Caenorhabditis elegans: one gene and its partner. The protein of the gene in region 1 purifies or fractionates together with the protein of each later gene. This does not show direct contact. Each region holds a gene or a part of one and is shown on either strand. Other genes may lie near its edges. The genes, in order: lrp-2 and egl-17.

The links.
Region 2: the proteins of lrp-2 (region 1) and egl-17 purify together in Caenorhabditis elegans (affinity purification with western blotting, with the first as the bait; one study listed by BioGRID). This does not show direct contact.

The regions. Positions count from the first base shown.
Region 1 is NC_003279.8:3,950,907-3,956,071, forward strand, and holds the start of lrp-2 (EGF-like domain-containing protein), read right to left. Parts: upstream 3,086-5,165; 5' UTR 3,037-3,085; coding exon 2,952-3,036; intron 2,541-2,951; coding exon 2,394-2,540; intron 2,312-2,393; coding exon 2,174-2,311; intron 2,122-2,173; coding exon 1,846-2,121; intron 1,551-1,845; coding exon 1,431-1,550; intron 1,364-1,430; coding exon 1-1,363.
Region 2 is NC_003284.9:487,585-492,841, reverse strand, and holds egl-17 (uncharacterized protein), read right to left. Parts: upstream 3,158-5,257; 5' UTR 3,113-3,157; intron 3,067-3,112; 5' UTR 3,049-3,066; coding exon 2,996-3,048; intron 2,975-2,995; exon of another isoform or gene 2,903-2,974; intron 2,284-2,902; coding exon 2,144-2,283; intron 2,043-2,143; coding exon 1,939-2,042; intron 1,423-1,938; coding exon 1,326-1,422; intron 937-1,325; coding exon 680-936; 3' UTR 524-679; downstream 1-523.

The DNA of each region.
Region 1 (5,165 bases):
ACAACTACTTTTTGGATGGAAAGATTTGAAAGTCTTTGAACCGTAATTATCTTTCGTCGTTGATCAGTCATGTAGAGGTTATCCGATGTAAAATCATAAGCCATTCCTTCACAGTTCATGATTCCAGTAAGTCCGTGAACTGTGTAATTTGTGGATCCAATCTTTTGCACTACAAGTGAATGCCTTCTCAAATCATACATCAGAAGTTGTTCTCCTTTTGGATCAAAAGTCATTGCACTCGGACGTTTGACATTCAGAAGATCTGAGACTCCGATGATCTCTGTCCGATAGTTCTTGTCGAATCCAAGGATCTTGATCCTCGAAGGTCTTAACTGAGCAAGAACAAATAATTCTTCATCTTTAAGATCTTTCGAGGCGGAACATTTTGTGTTATTCTGAATGTACCCATCTCTACAAAAACACGACGAAGTTTGATTGATATGCCCTATACACATATCATCACACATTGCCGCTTTGCAAATATTCTTTCCCTTGTTCTTCCATGCATGCTCATTTCGTCGAAAGTGCAAAACTTCAAGGATCTGAATATTCTCGTTCCCTTGTTTTCTCTGAGGTGTCACTTCCTGCCAAATCTTCATATCAGAATTCGAATCCAATGCATTCATTGCAAATACTCGATTGTCTTTCAGTGTCAGAAACAACCGACCCTCTGCGTAATCAATCATTTTAACTTCTTTCGCAATTCGGCCACTAACAATAGTTCTTGAGTAGTTTGCATTATAGTCAACGGCTTTGATGGATCGTGCGCCAATATCCACAAAGTATAATGTCTCGGTGAATGGGTCAATTGCAAGTGCAGGAGAAGTAATCGGTTGATAGGATAGTCGGTATCGTTGACCAGATGCTACATCGATTCTCCATATTCCTTGTTGTAAAACATCAACTTCAGATACCAAAAGCTGTCCGTTCAATCCATCATACTTCATATCTTGAATTGTTCCCATATCACCTGCGGTAACAGTTCGACAGGACGATATTCGTACACTATTATGCTTGCAAATGAATACATAATAAGAAGCATCCGTAAAAATCCAGTTGTTACCAATATTATCGAATCGTATGATGTGAATAGAAGACAAATCAAAATCAATTGCATAAGTCTTGGTTGCAGGTTCGGAGCCTTCAACATTTCCGCATGTGATATAACTATCATTTGCCGATGGAGATTCGGAGAGACAGAGTATTGGAACAGTGGCCTCCGGGAAGTCAGGATGCTGGATGACAAGAGTCATTGCTCCGGGTTTTCCTAGTGGTCGAGGCATGCTTGAATAGCTAGACATCTTGTTTTTCTGAAGCACAAAGAGCTTTTTCTTGGTGAGAATTGCTACACTGGGGATGGTTTCTGAAATAAGTTTTTTGTTTTTTTTTTTTTGAAATAAAAGTGTTCATCAAAAAAATTTTAAACTCACGATCTTTATCAGCCACACAATGCGTTCCATTGACAACTGTGAGCCTGGGATCGAAGCAGGAACACGTGAAAGTACCGTTCTTGTTGTCAGTGCAATCTTGACTGCATACAGGGGGAAGTCCTGAAAGTCTACTTTTCACTTTCTGAAGTTTTTTAAACATTTATTTCCCATGTTGTTGCTTTGTCTTATTCTTAGACGTTTTTGTCGATTTCTCATCGATTTTTTTTTCAAACTTCGCCCGTTTTTTTTCTTTTTTCTAAATAAAAAAACGTTGAAAAAATTTAAAGCAAAATTTTTTTTTAAATTCATTCAGGGGCTATTTTAAAGTTCATCCTAACAATTTGAGCTTTACCTTTTTAAAACGTAGGAAACGTAAAACTGTTGAATATTTTTTCATACTTAAAAAAAAACTCACCATTTTTGGTTCGTTCACAATGATTTACAAATTCACATTTTCCTTGCTCATTCAAAAACTTGTTCTTCGGACAGTAACACTTGATTCCATCAATCGTCATTGCTGCTCCATACTCACAACTGTCGGCTGTCTTTGGATCTTCCACGTGGCACATCGAATGCTCATCCGAGCCATCCGAACAGTCGCGTTTACCATCACAGAATTTGAAGAGAGGCACGCATTGTGCGGATTTTGAACACGCGTACTCGTTGTAATCACAGTGTAGTGGTTGATTGCCTGGAAAGTTTAGACATGAAGCGCCACGAAAATAAAATTTTCAAAGACTTACAAAGTTCAGGAGCTTCATCAGAAAGGTCGCGGTCTCCGTTTGGAAGACGTCCACAGTCGTATTGCGAATCACACAAATAGCCACGTGGCAGACATTTACCCGTTTTGCACACAAACTCGTTTTCTAGACACGTTCGTTCTGAAATTGGAATAATTAAACGAATTTTGTGGTTGAAATATGTTCTCAAAAAGACAATAGAAAAATTAAAATAGCAACTCACTACACGTGGAAGGCTCATCTGAACTGTCCTGACAATCTGGAAACCCGTCACAATACCACTGTTCCGGATAGCATTTTGGACCGCCCGGCGATTTTGCATCGCATTCTCGCATCGGTGCAACACATTCTGGGTAGTGGGGTTGGGTTTCTGAAAAAGGTTTTTTGATTCCGAAAAGTAAAAAAAATACAGGCAATTTGCTATTTTTCCAAATTTATACGGCTTTAGAATAAAATTTTTTCAAACTATTTGAAAATTCTCGATGCATTTACACACTTCACGAGTAAATTTTACTACACTGACATGGCAAAATTTTCCGAATTTTGAAAATATACAGTATCCGGTCTTAGTACAAAAATACTTCGTTAAGCGTAAGAAGGTGTGTGCCTTTGAAGATTACTGTAATTTCCAACCACTTGTTTCTACAAAACTTCATTGATTTTTCAACACATTTTTAGATTAAAAAAAATCAACGTCTTTGAAAATTACTGGCGCCCACACTTTACATTTAACAAAAAAAAATTTCGTGACTGGATCGAGTACCGTAGGAAAAAAGCTCACCCTCCGCTGACGTCTCATCTGACTGAACGAGGCTGAAACCCTGAAGGGCAACAAGAAGAATAACTAAATAACGGGCGGAGAGCATCGGAATGTGTGCAGCACCTTCATGGAGAGTCGAGAGGTACAGGTTTTGACTGAAATTAGCAAAAAAAGATGAAAAAGGAAAAAAGGGAGACAAGTTCAAAAGTCAAAAAGTAAAACGATTACGAGAAATCAATGTGATTTTAATTCAAGAACCCCCTTCTGTCTAATTGCCATTTCGTTTCGGTTCAGATGACCCAATATATTGTAGATGTTCAAATGGCAATAGAGAGAGAAAAGAAGAAAGTAAGACATTTGGAAAAGAGAAGGAAAGATGGCGATGAGCCAAATGCAATAAACAAAATTAAACTGACAAAGAGGAAATGTGAACACGAACACGAACACACAAGATTTATAAAGTATGAGGCGTTGGGGGAAGGGAAGAAGGAGCAGGAAGACGAAGTCAAAAAACAAGTTTGCTCTTTTTTATGAGATTTTTCTCAGAAAGAAGCTAGCAAAAAAAAAATCCATTTTTCGCTTTTACCGGAAAAGGTAACCGAGCAAAAACTAACTGTAAAACTCAGCGATTTATTAATTTTACACCTTTTTTAAAAATTACTTTTGGAATTTTAAATGCAAGTATTTTTAACGTATTCAATTTTTTTGGTTTTCTTGTGTTTTTTTTTGGTTTAGATCAATTCATAAAACGAATTGTATTAAACTAAAACACAAAACTAAAAAAATACTTTTTAGAAAGTAACATTCCAAATTAAAAAAAAATTTATGGAGTCCCTCAAGGAGTATAAACTAAAACTATTGAAGCTCTCCACGCAAGAATCCTTTTTAAAACCCCAAAAAGAAAATAACCAAACTACCTACAATTTTGAGATTTCCCTCACCAACAGACAACAAGGCCAAAAAAGGTACACGAGTAGAGAAGATGAGACTCAGACTGGTCGAGTAAAAATGAAACAATGAAAAATAACTTTTTGGTGATTCGGGGCAGTGTCAAAGGCAATTGGCAGGCGACGACGAAGAAGAAAAGAGTTATGTTTTGGTACATAGGCGGCGATGAAAGAAATGGGAAAGGAAGGTGGGGGGGGGGGGGGGGGTAAATGGAACAGTATGTGGACACAAAGAGGCAATTTAATAGATTGACTGTGAAAACGTTTAGCGTAAGTACATTCAATTAATAGTTTACAATACTGAGAGCAAAAATATAAGTTTTCGTTTTCTAGAAATAAATTGGCACAACTTTAGCAGATTCTCATAGATATCAAAAAAAAAAATTTAACTGCAAATTTGTAGAGTTAGTCACGATAAATGTTTTGTCAGTTTACAACTTTTTAGTAAAATCAAAAACTAACGAAATATGGACGCTGTAGTTTCAATAGTTATGGTTAAGTGCAAAAGTTATGCAAAAAAATTGAACAGCTAGCACGCGCACCTTCTAAAAATTTCAAACATGGCGTCTGCAAGAGTACGCTTTTTTTGCTCCACTGAGACTTTTTTATGAATAAAGCGAACTAAGAGCTCCTGAATAATTTCATCCAGACCGCACACATTCGACGCGCAACAATAAAAAAACGGAATGTGATCCGACAAAAAGCGGCAAGTAAGTAGGCAATAAAACTGGAGACATTCATCTCTGGGTGTCTTTTTTTGACTTTTCAAGAAGAAGAAGAAAAATGAACGGAAGTTGAGAAAAAGAGAGAGAAACGCAGAACGATAAATGGTTGAGCCAAGTGCGTGGCCGACGAAAAAGCGGATGTATATTTGGTAAATCGAGTAGAAGTGGAGAGGGTAAATGTTTATGGTATTTCGTGCATTTGGAGCATTTAAATTGTGGTAGTTATTGGGTTCATAACAAGTTTTTTTTGGGAAATTACGTGACTTTTTTTGGAAGCAGCAGTTCTAGGTTTTGGGAGATGTGGGAAAAAGTTTTGGAATCGGAAATTCTAAAGTTTACTGCAAATTGAGCAGATACTAGAGAAGAGGGGGATTTTTGCCAAATTTTGGTACTTGGAAAGTTTGAAACATTTTGAAATGTAGGGGATTTTATAGAACACAGACACATTTTTTGGTGAGCTGACTCATGCCTAGTTACTTGCCTACGTGCCTACCTATCGCCTATTATTTTTGTATTTTGGCATACCTCCTTGGGTGCTTGGTGTTCGAACTTCTTATTTAATT
Region 2 (5,257 bases), on another chromosome or scaffold:
GGAAATATAAATTTGATACTTTTTGTAGATTAAGGAGCCTAAACATGAATTTCACTGAACAATTTTCTATCTTCAAACTCAAAATGATTTAATCCATGATTAAACGTTTTCTGATAGGAAATGACTAACCGAAAAAAATCGACAATTTAGGCAACTTCGGCAACTATTACCGTAATTAGCCAAAAATTTTTGAAACCGGCAATTGCCGAAATTGCCAATTGCAGCGCACACCTGAATTGGTTTTTTTTGAGAGTCAATTTAAAAAATTCAGTTTTATATTTTAATTATGTTCAAAATATTCAATAATATTCAATAATTTTCTCCGGATTTTTTTGTTGCTTTTTTATGTATTGTTTAAAATTATTCAAAAAAGATGATGGAAAACATTTTTCAAACACTTGGAAACATTGGAACTAGATTTTGAACACTTATGGCAAGTCTACGTGGATGAATCTGATATTAATCTGAAATTAATTCTGAAAATAATTATTGCTAACTGATTTTTTGATTGGTTTAGAGACAGAAAAACGTAAACTTCATTAAAACACACAAATGCCGAAAAAATTTTCAAACTTAAACATTTTATTATTCGATAATTTTGACGGTTTACATATTCTATAATGGTACATATACAAACATTCGGAATTATCTGGAACAATGATATATTCATGCAATTATCTTATGATTTTCTGGATTTCATTGTACGATACAAACTATCATGTGTGGCAGATACTTTTTTCAAAAAATTTGAACGAACTGCATGATGGACAAATGACGAGTGCTCAAGTGGGGAGGGTGATAATTTTGGTTTTGGGGGAGTTGAGCAGACGCTTTTCTCGGATTCTGCAACATAACGGACAAGCTTGATCCAGTCAAAACATCTTGGCTTTAAATGATAGGATAAAGGATTTTGAAATCTACCACGACCGTTGAAGCCTGTAAAAATTTAATTTGGAATAAAGTTGGTGTAGTTTATTTCTGTTTATTGCTTTAATAATGAAACTTCTCGAGAACTTATCAAAAAAAGTTCAAAAAGTTCGGCTCAAAAAATGACCTAAATTAGTTAAAATTTGAAATTTGACCGACTTGTCAAAGTATCTTTTTTAAAGGATTAAATTTAAAACCGTTTAATTTTGTGTATAGCAGTACATCATTTTTCGTTTTCAGCTCAATGTAGGTACTTTGAGGTAGATGGACGACCAGATTTGAAAAAAAAATCAAATAAAATTAATTATTGCAACTAACTATTTATGACTAACTTTTCCAATAATATTTTCCATTTTCAAATGTATTCATTCAATTTTTTTTGCAGTTCCATCACATACCTAAATAAAGTTCGGGTTTCCATGAAGACCGTAATCGAGAAAACCCATTATCCCGAACTTCTTCAATAAATGTGCATTTGGCGTCGCTTCCATTAAACTGAAATGTTCGGATTGTTTTTTCAGAAATGTTGTAAATTTAATGTTAGTTTTTAATTGAGTTTAAAAAAAATTTACCTGATAAAGCATACTTTTCAATGAACAATAGTATTAAAATAAACATTCGCGTAAAATTTTAAAAAATCAGTGAAAAAACTATTAAAAAGCATTTTGGGGAAAAACCCCCATATGTACCCAACTTTCTTGTGCACACATTTCATCATTTAATAAACGGATTATAAATATTCAGGGTACGCATGTGTTTCGTATACATCCATTTAGTTCTCAAAAATGCGATCGAAATCTTTATAGCGATGCGCGGAACCCAAAAAGTCCCGGACGCGAAACGAAGTTTGCACCAAATAGTGTCATACCCTATAGCACTATTTCGTGCAAACTTAACTCCACGTCGGACTCTCTTTGGGTTTCGCGCATCGCTATAAACATTTCGATCGCGGCGTGAGACGCCGAATGGGAGCCCTAATTTTGAAAAAATAGGTTTAAAAAAAGTTGATACCCTCAAAGTTATCCTTGCTCTTTTGTTAAAGCACAAAAACTTTCTCGACTGTGCATGTTGTAACCGAAACTTTCCATCCCATTCTCCAACCACATTCCAATCGGCTACAAACATATAATATTGCATCAATGTTCTTACTTCGATGACATCAAACTTTTCAAACAGATGACTCATAGCTATACTGAACGGAACAATGAAAACTCACTTAGACAATGTTTGTCCGGATATCCCCTTGTGTTCAGGGAGCCTAGAAATGACTGTAACATGCCTTGGCTGCATTCATTGAATAGTTGCCAATGGGTCTCACCGAGATAATGAACGTTTGGTTTTATTTGAAATCGTGCGCTGCAATTTTTTTATTGAGCCTATTTAAGGTTGAAGTATACATTCTCCTAAAACTAAAACATTTTTCAAGTAGATATGAATAAATTTTTCTAAATGTAAAATTAAATTTGTCTTCACATTTTCAAAAATTCTCTTCACAGTCATGATTAACATTGTTTTTTTAATTCTCAAAAGGTCAAACTGTCCGAAAAATTTACAAGATACCAAAATAAACAGTTTTGGAATTTTTTTCTTAAATTCGGTTATGGTAAAAATAATTATGTACGTATTTAGATAGAATCCTCACTGGGGATACTGAAAAAAGTAATTTTTCGCAATGTCTGGCATATTACGAGTTCATCGGTTTAACTCATTTTAAAGTTGATATAGTGGGAACAAATTTCATGTGAATTTTTTTCAAAGAGATTTTCAAATACTTCGGAACACTTTGGTGGTAAAAACTTTAAAAAAAATTAAAACGGATAGGTTTTCACAAATGAATCTTATAAATTTACGCTCGTCGTTTTAATTTTTAAGCCATCAATGAATTTTTTTTCACCACCTCCCTGCGCTTATTGTATTCTATCAACATGTTCCTATCCCGCCTTTATATTTTCTCTCGTCTTTTCCTATTAATGTGTCCTCGGTAGTATAGTGGTGAGTATCCGCGTCTGTCACATGCGAGACCCGGGTTCAATTCCCGGCCGGGGAGAACTTTTTTTGCGACACTCACCATGTATTCCGAAAGTTTGTCGACAACATCAGGGTGAGTAGGACTTTGAGCATAGCTCACATTTCGGGCACCTGAAAAATCATTGTTTTTAATTGTGACATGAACAAGTGGACCAACCTTGGAATTTTATAAATTAGAGTCGGAAATCAAAGATGGATGCCTGTAAAACGATTTTCACAGCGGGGACACACATTGGGTAAAACAAAAACGGAAACTAAAAATGCAATTGAAAACATATTACAAAAGTAACATAATCGAGCGGCTGAGACGCCACGTAGAAGAAGCGGCGGTGTTCGTTGGAAGAAATCAGATCAGAAACAAGAATTTAATCAACTTTTTTGTCACTTTTTTCTTTCAAAACACATTGTAATTACAACTTGAAGTTGTCGGACAATTGTATCGAGACGGAGGAAAGTTGGTAAAGACAGACGATATAAGAGATGAGGGGGGAAACTAGAAAACTGAGGAAAACTATTGACTGGACATCATATTAAGATGACATTTTCATACATGTGGTACACACACAAAATATAACTTTGTTGGTGAGTAGGTTTTAAAGCTTACAAGAAACATGTTTTCGTTTTTTTGAAAGTAGGTATCCGCAAAAATTTAGCGGAAGAGCTATACCCTTAAATGCTACTACAATCTTCAGAAATTTGCAAAAATCCCCTTCTGGAGTAATGACAGAATTTGAAAGTAATGCAAAGAGCATAAAAAGTAGTTAATATAATGAAAGATCTGTACATGAACCAAATTAATTCAAAACGATGAGATTTTAGTCTAATTGTTTTCTCGAAGCTACCTTATCACACCTATACGGAACTTGCCTATGGGGTCACAATGACCGAATATCATGATAAAAAATTCAACAAACATTTCTAGATTTTAAATTATTTTTTTGAAAATTCGAAAAATCTCAGTTTTCCCCTAATTCCTATTTGAATTACCGCCAATTGAACTCGTTCGTTGGAGCGCGATTGCATTATTTTCATTAATTTTTATGTTCTCATTATTTCACTAACAACAGTGAAATAATGAGAACAAATAAAAACATTAATGAAAATAATGCAAGCGCGCTCCAACGAACGAGTTCAATAGGCGGTAATTCAAATAGGAATTAGGGGAAAACTGAGATTTTTCCAAATTCCCAAAAATCATATAAAATCTTGAATTTTTTTTGAATTTTTATATCATGATATTCGGTCATTGTGACCCCATAGGAATCTTTTAAAGCAAATCTCCCACAGAGTATAGTCCACTTTTAAACAAAAAAAACCATTGAAAAACTTTAAACCTCAGAAAAATTATTAAACATCACATGAAAAACTGAACGGTAGACAAGTAACCAGAGGACAAACGAAAAAAAAAAACGTTTGGTATAGAATTACCGCAACAACTTTACCGCGTTTTTCCTGGCTTCTCATGTCTTAAAAACGTCATTTGGAAAAGTAGTTTAAGAAATTGGCGTACGCTTTCTGGTTATGAAACTGTCTTTTTCGCCATGTGTGCGCAAGCAAACATACATATGAAAATTACCAAGGACGTGAAAGAAAAGGAGGGTGACGGGGGAGGAGACAGTGATTAATCAGAGTCGCACCGGGGGTTGGCCGTTTTTGAATTTTGGGATTTTTGACGGCTTTTCGAAAATAATAATTTTTTATGAGCTTGTGATGAGAATTTAAAATTTAAGCAAAAGTAAATAACAGGAGGTCATTAAATTACGCTTCCTTATCTGATTCTTGTGATAATTTGATATTCTTTGAGCGCTATTGGTTTTGTACCACTACTGTATTCATGCTATTAGCACGGTTGTAATAATACTTCTCAGATAAACTTACCAATCATAATTGCAAGACTGATAGGGAATGTAATACTATGTTTCTAGAGAATTTTGATTAAAACATCTAGCTTTCATATACAAAAGTAAACGAATTTCAGCCTTTTTTAATGGAAAAAGAAATGCCCCCACGCAGGATTGAACTACGGACCTTTGGTTTACAAGACCAACGCTCTACCACTGAGCTATAAGGGCGTCGGTTTGTGGATCTTTATCGCGTGGGAAAAACAGAGAATTTTGAATGTTTTTTTGAATGTTGAATAAAAAACCAAGTATAACAAATATAACTTTTTCAACGAAAACAAATTCAGTTTGTTTCAAACAACTTTTCCGAGCGATCAATACACAATTAAAATGAAAAACGAAGGTACAAGTGAAATTTAACTGCTTCACTGCCATAACTGACCTCATCCAATAATTCGATG